Linked DNA regions of Saccharomyces cerevisiae S288C. Changing the gene in region 2 together with the main gene of any one other region gives a genetic interaction. Each region holds a gene or a part of one and is shown on either strand. Other genes may lie near its edges. The genes, in order: YKL033W-A and SAP1.

Region 1 (3,260 bases), on a different chromosome or scaffold from region 2:
TCTTTATCAGAACTGACTAAAAATGTGATTAAGGGGAACAGTTGTTGTCCCAATTGCTCGGAGAATTTACCATTAGATGACCAACATGTCCGTAAGAGATGAAATATAATTAGTAGGACGTATTCTGTTTGAGACTCGCCGAGAGCTGGCTGTTTCAATAAACTCGCGATAGGAACAAAAACATAATCTGCAAATTTTGGCGAAAGTGAATCGTCTTCGTATGCTGATAACTTCTCTTCAACTTTTTTTAAACATGCCAATAGCGTTAATGAATTTGGATCAAATGATTCGGTGGGTAAAAAAGCGATCCTAGAAAGTTCAACACATGAAATTCTTATGTCCTTAAATGCATTCGTGTCTGAATTCATTTGCACAAAGCTTTTGAACACCAGCTATTGCAATCTTTCCTTTCGATGTGCATGTTCACTATAATATTTTATTGTAATGAGATTGAAATAAAACGATAAAAACCCAAACATGTACTATAGTATATTATACAAAAATAACTGAGCTCACCACATAAAGTAGTGTGATAAATCAAATACAAATCATCCCTTTTTATACTTAGTGCAATATACAAATATATTGTTTACGTAAATACTGGAAATTCACAGTCCATATTTGGACATTTCCAGTTTTTCCAAAGAAGACAATAGTTCACCTTTACCGGCTAACAAAGCTTCTGTGTCCCCCAAAACAGCATGTGCTTCTGGATGGGGGACCCAAATAACGTGTGCACCAAATGCCTTGGCTGATTTTACGCCTGGAATACCATCTTCGAACACTATACACTCATCGGGCTTAATATCGGTATGAAACTTCTCATTCAATTCCTTTAAACCCAACTGCCAAATGTCCGGGAAAGGCTTACCCCTACCTTTTGCAATTCTTGGATCATCACCAGTGACAATGGTATCGAAAAGATCAAAACCTTCCTCTAAATGACTTGTTTTGCCGCGAAATTTAGTCTTGTTCGAAGACGTACATAATGCAATAGGAATGTTCTTTAACTTTAAGTATTTCAACAAATTCAATGCACCGGGAAGAAATTCGCAAGTACCCCATTTAAGAGATTGCAATGCAACATTTCTTTCGTCGTACTCATCTAAAGTTATTGGTAATTTGTAGTGTTCGATCACCCTTTTTCCTGCTTCCGGTCCCGGAAGCCCTTGCAATTTAATCTTCACATCCCAAGTTAAAGGTCCCTTACCAAATTCTGCGAGAGTTTCATTTAAAGTTTCAGTATAAATATCCTCTGTGTTGATGAGAAGACCATCCATGTCAAATAGACATGCCTTCACTGCTACAGGATGTGTCATAATTTGTTAAAAAAAAGAAATTTACTTTTGCGTTCTTATTGTCAAAGAAACAAAAGCAGTGTAATTGGAAGGCAGTGACGGTCTTAAGATTCCCCAACTTGGAGTTGGAGCGATTTAGATTCACCTCAATGGATCTTGATCGGCAATATTTTCCCAATAATTAATTCCTCGAAAAATGTGTCATACGGAAAAAGGGTAACACTAAAAACCCTTGTGAATTATCCTAAGTCTAGTTTGCCTATTGTATATTTAAGCAAAACTACTTTAGTGGTAATAAAAAGTTAATGCACTATTCATGTAAAATTTCTTATTGCAATGGTTGACAAATAGGAAATGTCACGGTATCTTGGATCTTGAATACAAATACAGTATATAGTTCTTAGGATCAAGAGATGCTATCTACAACGGAGGTAATGGTGACCTACACACAGGACATTGTAACTTATAATTCATCCAGTTTTCTAGACACGAAGTATGAAATACGTGATTACAAGGCGTTACCATGTAAGAGTGCTGATCCACCTTATGAGTTTCTGGAATTTCCTCTATGTAAATTGGAACATCAGACATACATATCGCGCAATCAACGGTATGTTCAGCAGTTCCACCACCATGCTCCGATATATACTCGTTTGAAAGGGGCTTGAAATACGAATATCCATCAGGTATTGTGTGCTTAGGCAAGAACCAGCGCGATCCCAATACATCTTGAGAATACAGTATACTAATTTGAAACAGTAGCCACAATGATAAAAATACGACGAAATGAACATCTTTATGGTGCCTGAACACATTAGAGGAGTAAGTGAAAACATACACAACGGGCAAGCTTCTAATTATTGTTGTACCAATTACAAAACTCCACAATAATGGCATTTTGTTTTGACTTCTATTTCCTCCAATGCTAGATCTTGCTCTTTCTCTTCTTGAAGGAATACCTTTAACGGCGTTACGGAAAATTTGAGGGATCCAATATGAGTTTAATATGAAGATTAGGATATACTCAAATACCATCCTTAGCTGACGGGGCCATGAAGTTGAACTCAATATTAAAAACGTGAAAATGATTAGCATAAAGAAAAACCTACCATATAACGAGCCACCGATAGACCCTTCATCGGGAATGAATGCGGGTCTTGGCCTATTCTCATCATATGTGCCAGTGTTACCACGCAGGAGGTTGATAATCCCAACATTCTGTTCGTTAACCTGTGAAGCGTAAATTGAAATTAAGTAGCGTATTTCAAAAATAGATGCCAAGATAAAGCACGAAAAAGCACTTATAACTAGGGGTAAGTACAATTCGGGAACGACACTAGCTGCGACAAAGTACAAAGTGGCCAAGGAACCATCGACTAAGTTTATCATTGAGAAACAATAGAATGAGATTTTGTTGACCATGGAGGGGGTATTTGTATGATGCATCTGAGTAAGCAATAAGTATATCTGGGCTGCAAATAATGCAATACCGAACAATAGATGTTTTCTGATCGACATTATTTTTAATTCGTACCGTGTACCCTTTACGTTATGAAGCCCTAATCGTACGCCACAGTCTGGAGAATACAGTAATCCAGAGACAACATTTATGGGCGGTAAACTAGACAGATTTGCCGGACGCCCCAGGGGCCAATTCAATTCATCATCTATTAACTTGATCTGATCTCTTGTGTACTGATTCCATGGTTCCAACTGAAGAAAAATCAAATACTCACATTTAAAGTTGGCATTATTATAAGCATCCTGTACGTCTTTCATGGTCATGACATCTGTGTAATCCGTGAAATTCCAAAATTCATCAACGAGTTCCTTGACATCATTAAATATTTTCTCATTATAATCATTCTGGAAGGACATGTAATGAGGAAGGGCGAACAATGAATGAAATTTAGAACTCTGAGAAATAGAAAGAATTCTACCACGTTGAATGTCATATACAGC
Region 2 (5,441 bases):
ACTTTGCAATCGTAACAAGGTTTCTTTCATCGTTAAAATACAATCATACATAGAGATATATGGGCAAAAACCATTTCTTGAAGGATTTCTCTGCTTTACCGGAGGACGTACTCATAGAAAACGAGAGAGGCATAACTTTACTTGGTTACCCACTATTTTCTCCCAAGATTTTACTGCCTCACGTTGACCCACCACAATTTCAAAGACTAAACACTGAAAATGGCTCGTTAATTGCCCTGTCGAAAAATACTATATCGAACTTCATAGAACTGTATCCTATCGATCTGAGTACTGAACGCACTGCAGGCAGTAGCAGTTCACAGATGACAAAGTGGTTCGTACTGATGGATTACAAGGAAAAGTACGATATTGACGATCAAGGATGGTGTTATAGCTGGAATTTCAATAACTCTAGGTGGAAATCGAAAAATGGCTTGGTGAGAAGAAGGGTCTGGGTAAGACTACCTACGACCAGTCATGGATTAGATTAGTAATAGTTTACGCTAATATTAAATTGTTTAACAAACTAAGTAGTCAAAAAAAAGAAAAAAAAAAAAAAAAAAAAGAAAAGGTGACATTATGCAGAACATATTTTATCGATCCGCTTATGTGCACACAGTTTGTCCAGCTAGGCTAGAATATTATTTATTATTACCATTATTATTATATTATTATTATTATTATCATCATCATGAACCTGATGATCCGAATTGTGAAGCCCACTTTTCGTACTTCACTAATCCGTCCTGGGATACAGAGGGCTTGATATACACTAAACTGTTCTTAAAATCCACAAGGCCTATGGGTCTTATCATCTCCCTCTCTGTTTCTAATAACTTATCACCCAGATCTCGTAGTGGGCCCATGGCAGCATCCTTCGCTAAAGACGTTATATCACTTCCTGAATAGCCCTCAGTAATCTTTACCAGTTCATCAAAATCTGATTCGGTTAACGTGTGCTTTTGATGGGAAAGAAGCTTCTTAAATTGAACGTGTCTGGTCTGGTCCTCTGGTAATGGGATATATTGTCTTCTCACAAATCTTCTCCTTGCAGCCTCATCAATAGACCATGGTAAGTTTGTCGCGGCAAGTACCAGTACCCTTGTATCATCTTCGTCGCCATTGGTGTCAGAATTGTTAGTGTTACTTTTGTTTGAACCAGCCGCTGCGCTGGACAAGGATGACCACTGAACAAGAAATTCATTCTTTATCCTTCGGCTTGACTCATTTTCATTTTCGTTATTCCTACTACCCATGATAGAGTCAATTTCATCAACAAATATTATAGAAGGTGACAATTTTTTGGCAATTGCAAATAGTGCCCTCACTAATTTTTCACTTTCACCCAAGTATTTAGATGTCAAACTGGAAGCACTAATAGAGAAAAAGGTGGAGTGCGACTCTGTAGCTACAGCTCTCGCTAGCATTGTTTTACCTGTACCTGGTGGTCCAAATAAGAGCATCCCCCTGACTGGTTCACGTAACCCCCTGAATAAGTCTGGTCTCAAAAACGGATAGACAACTGCTTCCTTCAAAGAATATTTTGCACTTTCTAAACCAGCAATATCATCCCAATGAACTTCATCTCCGTGCACTACGATTTCGGCAAAAATTTGCTTTGCAGCTTGCCTATCTACACCTTGTAAACTATCAATAATTTCATCTTCTAAAATCTCCCTCAGGACTTTCTTGTCTATTTCAGGCTCTTCTCTTTGCTCATTTAGGGAAGTGGCATGTTCAGTGGCATCTTCTGTTCCAACATCTTCTATTTTTGGAGAACCGATTTTTTTTTGTGCTGGTATTTTTCGATTCGTTTTACTCATAGACGTGGTTTGATTTTTCGATGGCTTCTTATTCTGGGATGCACCATGCGAGTATGGTTTTGAGTTACTTACAGGTCTGGAAGGATGGCTACTCGTTTTCTTCGAACTGGAATTTGGGACTTTCGCCGTTTTGGATTTCAAAATGGGGTGACTCTTCTTCGTAGTGTTTAATGCGGGGTTACTCGCAACCTTTTTGCTGTTCAGAACTCTCTTAGCAGCCATTGCAGCCGTTTTGGGTTTTTGAATTACTGAATTTGGAACAGTCAGAGAAGAGGTCGGAGACGATGCATTGGATTTGATGATTGGTTTTGTATTACTTTTTGATCTTGTAATAAATGTTGGCGTTGATTTAGTGATAAGAGTGGGCGTTGATTTGGTACCCTTTAAGTATGGTACGTGATTATTCTTCATTAATTTTGATATTTGAGGATTCCTAATCTTTGATGAATCCATAGTAGTAGAAGTTTCTAAACTATGTGGCTTTAGAGCGCCAGTGCTGGACGCTCTATCGACATTTAATAAAGGAGGTGGAGGTAATGAAGGAAGAGCAGGGGCGGTAGTCGGCAGGGACTGTATGCATGATCCGGGAACATTTTCTGAAGAACTTACACTCTTATTACTGGACGTAGAAGAAGTAACAGACAAGTCAGACATTTGCTGTTGAATTGCTTCTAACGTTTTTATACGTCGTCTTTCCTCTTTTTCTTCTTCTTCTTCTTCTACGTCGACTTCGGAGAAATTATCATAGTAATCGGACACATCAAACTCGAAACCATCACTTTCTTCTTCATCAAAAACGTTGTGTCCTTTTAAAATGCCGACATCGTGATCATCCTCGTCATTAGTCAAATCTATCAATATTGGCTCTGAGATATATTTATCTGAGTACAGTTCAGTTTCCTTCTTAAGTGGAGGATCATTGTGCTCAATAGGGTTCTTGTGCTGTCTGCTTGCATTGTTGGATAAAGGCTTAGAAGGTACAAAATTTACTCTAATGTTCTCCGCATCTTCTCCGCGTTTTATCGATGTGCTGTTACCATATGATGATAGTGAGGGGTTGGAGTATGCGGTTTTATAGCCGCATGCATTTCTATTTCTTAATGTTTTCATCATTCTTCCGGGAACCATTTGGAATACAGGAGGTGGTTCAGTAGACCTTGTGAAAGATGAGCTATGATTAGTGTATGTTTTGGATGACGGCATATCATTCCTGGGAGCAGGCTCTTCTCGGACCAATTTTTTGACTCTTTTCAAATGCATAACGCTCTTGTGGTACAATTCTCGAATACCGTTCTGTAAACTAACTTCATCTTTCGTGTATGATTGAGTATTTGGGTAGTTATGCTCTATCAATGTCTGTTTGAATAGTACATCAGTGGTAAGCGCTTTCCATCCTTGCAATGCTTCTTTATATCGTTTTTTCTCTTCTAGGTTCAAGTAATATATTGTCTCATTGGCAATTCTACTGTAAAGTTCTGTAAAGTCGGTTAACGGTTGTTGAGGTCTTCTCCGTATCTTGGTTAATCTCGTTAAAATATGATGGCTTCTTTGTGAATCCATAGTGTCACAGTGCGATATAATCAATCCTGGTAAAACCGCACGAGTGAAAGGGAAAGAAAAATTGCGTTTGTTAGCTGCAATAAATGTAAAAAGACTATATTAAAAAAAGAACTGCAGCCTTTATTATTACCAATATATTTGATAAGAAAGTATATCGGACGCGTATTGTAGTTCTTGGGGAGCCGGTTGCTGTTGCTTCAGCCTCTTATGACCGTGAATCAAGAATTTTTATTATTCTTGATTTCAATTTTCTCCGCGAATCTCGGCTAAGATGCTTGGGTTGCCAGTGTTAATTCCATATATATACTGAATAATAGAAAATAAGTTAAAACATAAGTGCTGAAGACTTGAAAGGTTGGTGTGAGAAAACCCGTATGCCTGTGATATGTCTAGAATACATAGGGTTTTTTTTCTTCGCTTTGTAATTGATTGCGCTATATATGAAAAATATACATGAGGCGTTATTAACTTGCTGAGCTTATCTGGCCACAGTATGTTTTTTGTGTTCCTTCTCCTGCTCACCTAGGATTAGCTCTTCAAAAACTCTAGCTTCTTCAGCTTCTTCTGGTGACCTTCTAGCACTGGCAAACTTGTGGGCAATAAACAGCATTGCTTTTGCCTTTGCAATACGTTCCTTGGAAGGGACCTTTTTATCGTTTAGAATCTTATTGCAAACGTCTTTTAGTTTTCTTTCCAGTTCAAATTTCGACATAGCCCACATGACACCAAGTGCCTTACCAGCCATTGTGGACTCAAATTTGGCACGTTCATATTGGTCTAGTTCGTCAGTATTGACTTCACTCATTTTTTCCATGGCTTTTTGAGCTTCTAAGCCTGTAGACAATAAATTGTATGCTGATTTAACAGATCTAGCATTGTCGCGTGTACCAGTGAATATTTTAGAAATTCCGTAAGTCTTCTTGGACATGATAAAATTATTCGCTTTTGTCTTGTAAACCCTGGCCAATAAATACAATAACTCTAGACCAAAACTTTCTAATTTCAAATCCTCGATTTCTTGATCTAGTTTTCGCGTAAATTCCTCCAAGTTATTGGACTTCACAGCAATTAAGTACCTAGAGATTTTTTCGTTCAGTTTTTCTGCCAACTCGTCGACTTGTTTCATCATATCTTCCCGTCTTTTTTTCTCCATTTCCATTAGCTTCTCTCTTTGCTCCTTCGATAATTTATCTTTTTTCAAAGATTCAGCTTTATTAGTGTCATGCTTAACCATTCCACCATCAGTGCTCTCATCTGCTTTTTCGGTTTCAGTGGCTGCTGTACCCTCCTCATCTTCCTTTCCAAACATTTCTGTTGCCTCGTTTAGCTCTTTGAACAAAGAAAATTCTCCAATCCAATCTTTGAAGCCATCACCACCGAATATTGCTGTAAAGTATTCAGAAGCATCTTCAAATCCTTGCTGAGGAACAGCATCCTCCTTACCAAACTGGTCATACTTGGAACGAAGCCCTGGATCACTTAAGACTTGGTAGGCCTCGCCTACGGCTTGAAACTTTGCTTGAGCATCTGGGTCATCAGGATGCTTGTCCGGATGTGTTTCCATAGCCTTTCTACGATAGGCCTTTTTGATTTCAGTGGGCGTGGCCTCAGGCTTGATGCCCAAAATATCATAATACTCCGTCTCCTTTACCATATTCCCTCTTTTCTTTTCCTTTGAGTTAATACGTCTTAATTACGTGAAGCCGACAATTATCTAAGTTGCTCTTTTTACAGGCGTAAACCATTGGAAAGCAATGGTTACGGCTAACCGCGGATCCGACTATATCACCACTTTAACACTTTATCGTCCCTGTTTGTCCTTGGCAGTGTACATTCGCCATCAAATTTTCCGTTCTCCGCCCCATCTTGGTATGACGGGCGAAAACACCGCAGTGACGTTCCCAGGGTCTAAAACAATCCATAGGAGAACCACTTCGATTCACTGTCTTACTTCTCAAATACGAAATTTTTTGGATTAATCATCATTGTTTATTTCTGAAACGCTAACCGAAAGTCTTCATCATTTGATTTGACTCTAGCAGATATTCTCCAGGAAAT

The links.
Region 1: mutations in SAP1 (region 2) and YKL033W-A together harm fitness more than expected from each alone (negative genetic interaction), as found in Saccharomyces cerevisiae (2 studies listed by BioGRID).

The regions. Positions count from the first base shown.
Region 1 is NC_001143.9:372,564-375,823, reverse strand, and holds YKL033W-A (haloacid dehalogenase superfamily protein), read right to left. Parts: upstream 1,320-3,260; coding exon 609-1,319; downstream 1-608. Other genes in the region: TTI1 (Tti1p), read right to left, coding at 1-368; ubiquitin-protein ligase TUL1, read right to left, coding at 1,719-3,260. UniProt on the Saccharomyces cerevisiae protein: Nucleotidase with XMP as the best in vitro substrate. Low catalytic efficiencies of YKL033W-A observed with XMP and other substrates suggest that these could be secondary activities for this protein, and its primary substrate is not yet identified.
Region 2 is NC_001137.3:243,121-248,561, forward strand, and holds SAP1 (putative AAA family ATPase SAP1), read right to left. Parts: upstream 3,384-5,441; coding exon 690-3,383; downstream 1-689. Other genes in the region: SPO73 (Spo73p), read left to right, coding at 60-491; CAJ1 (Caj1p), read right to left, coding at 3,862-5,037.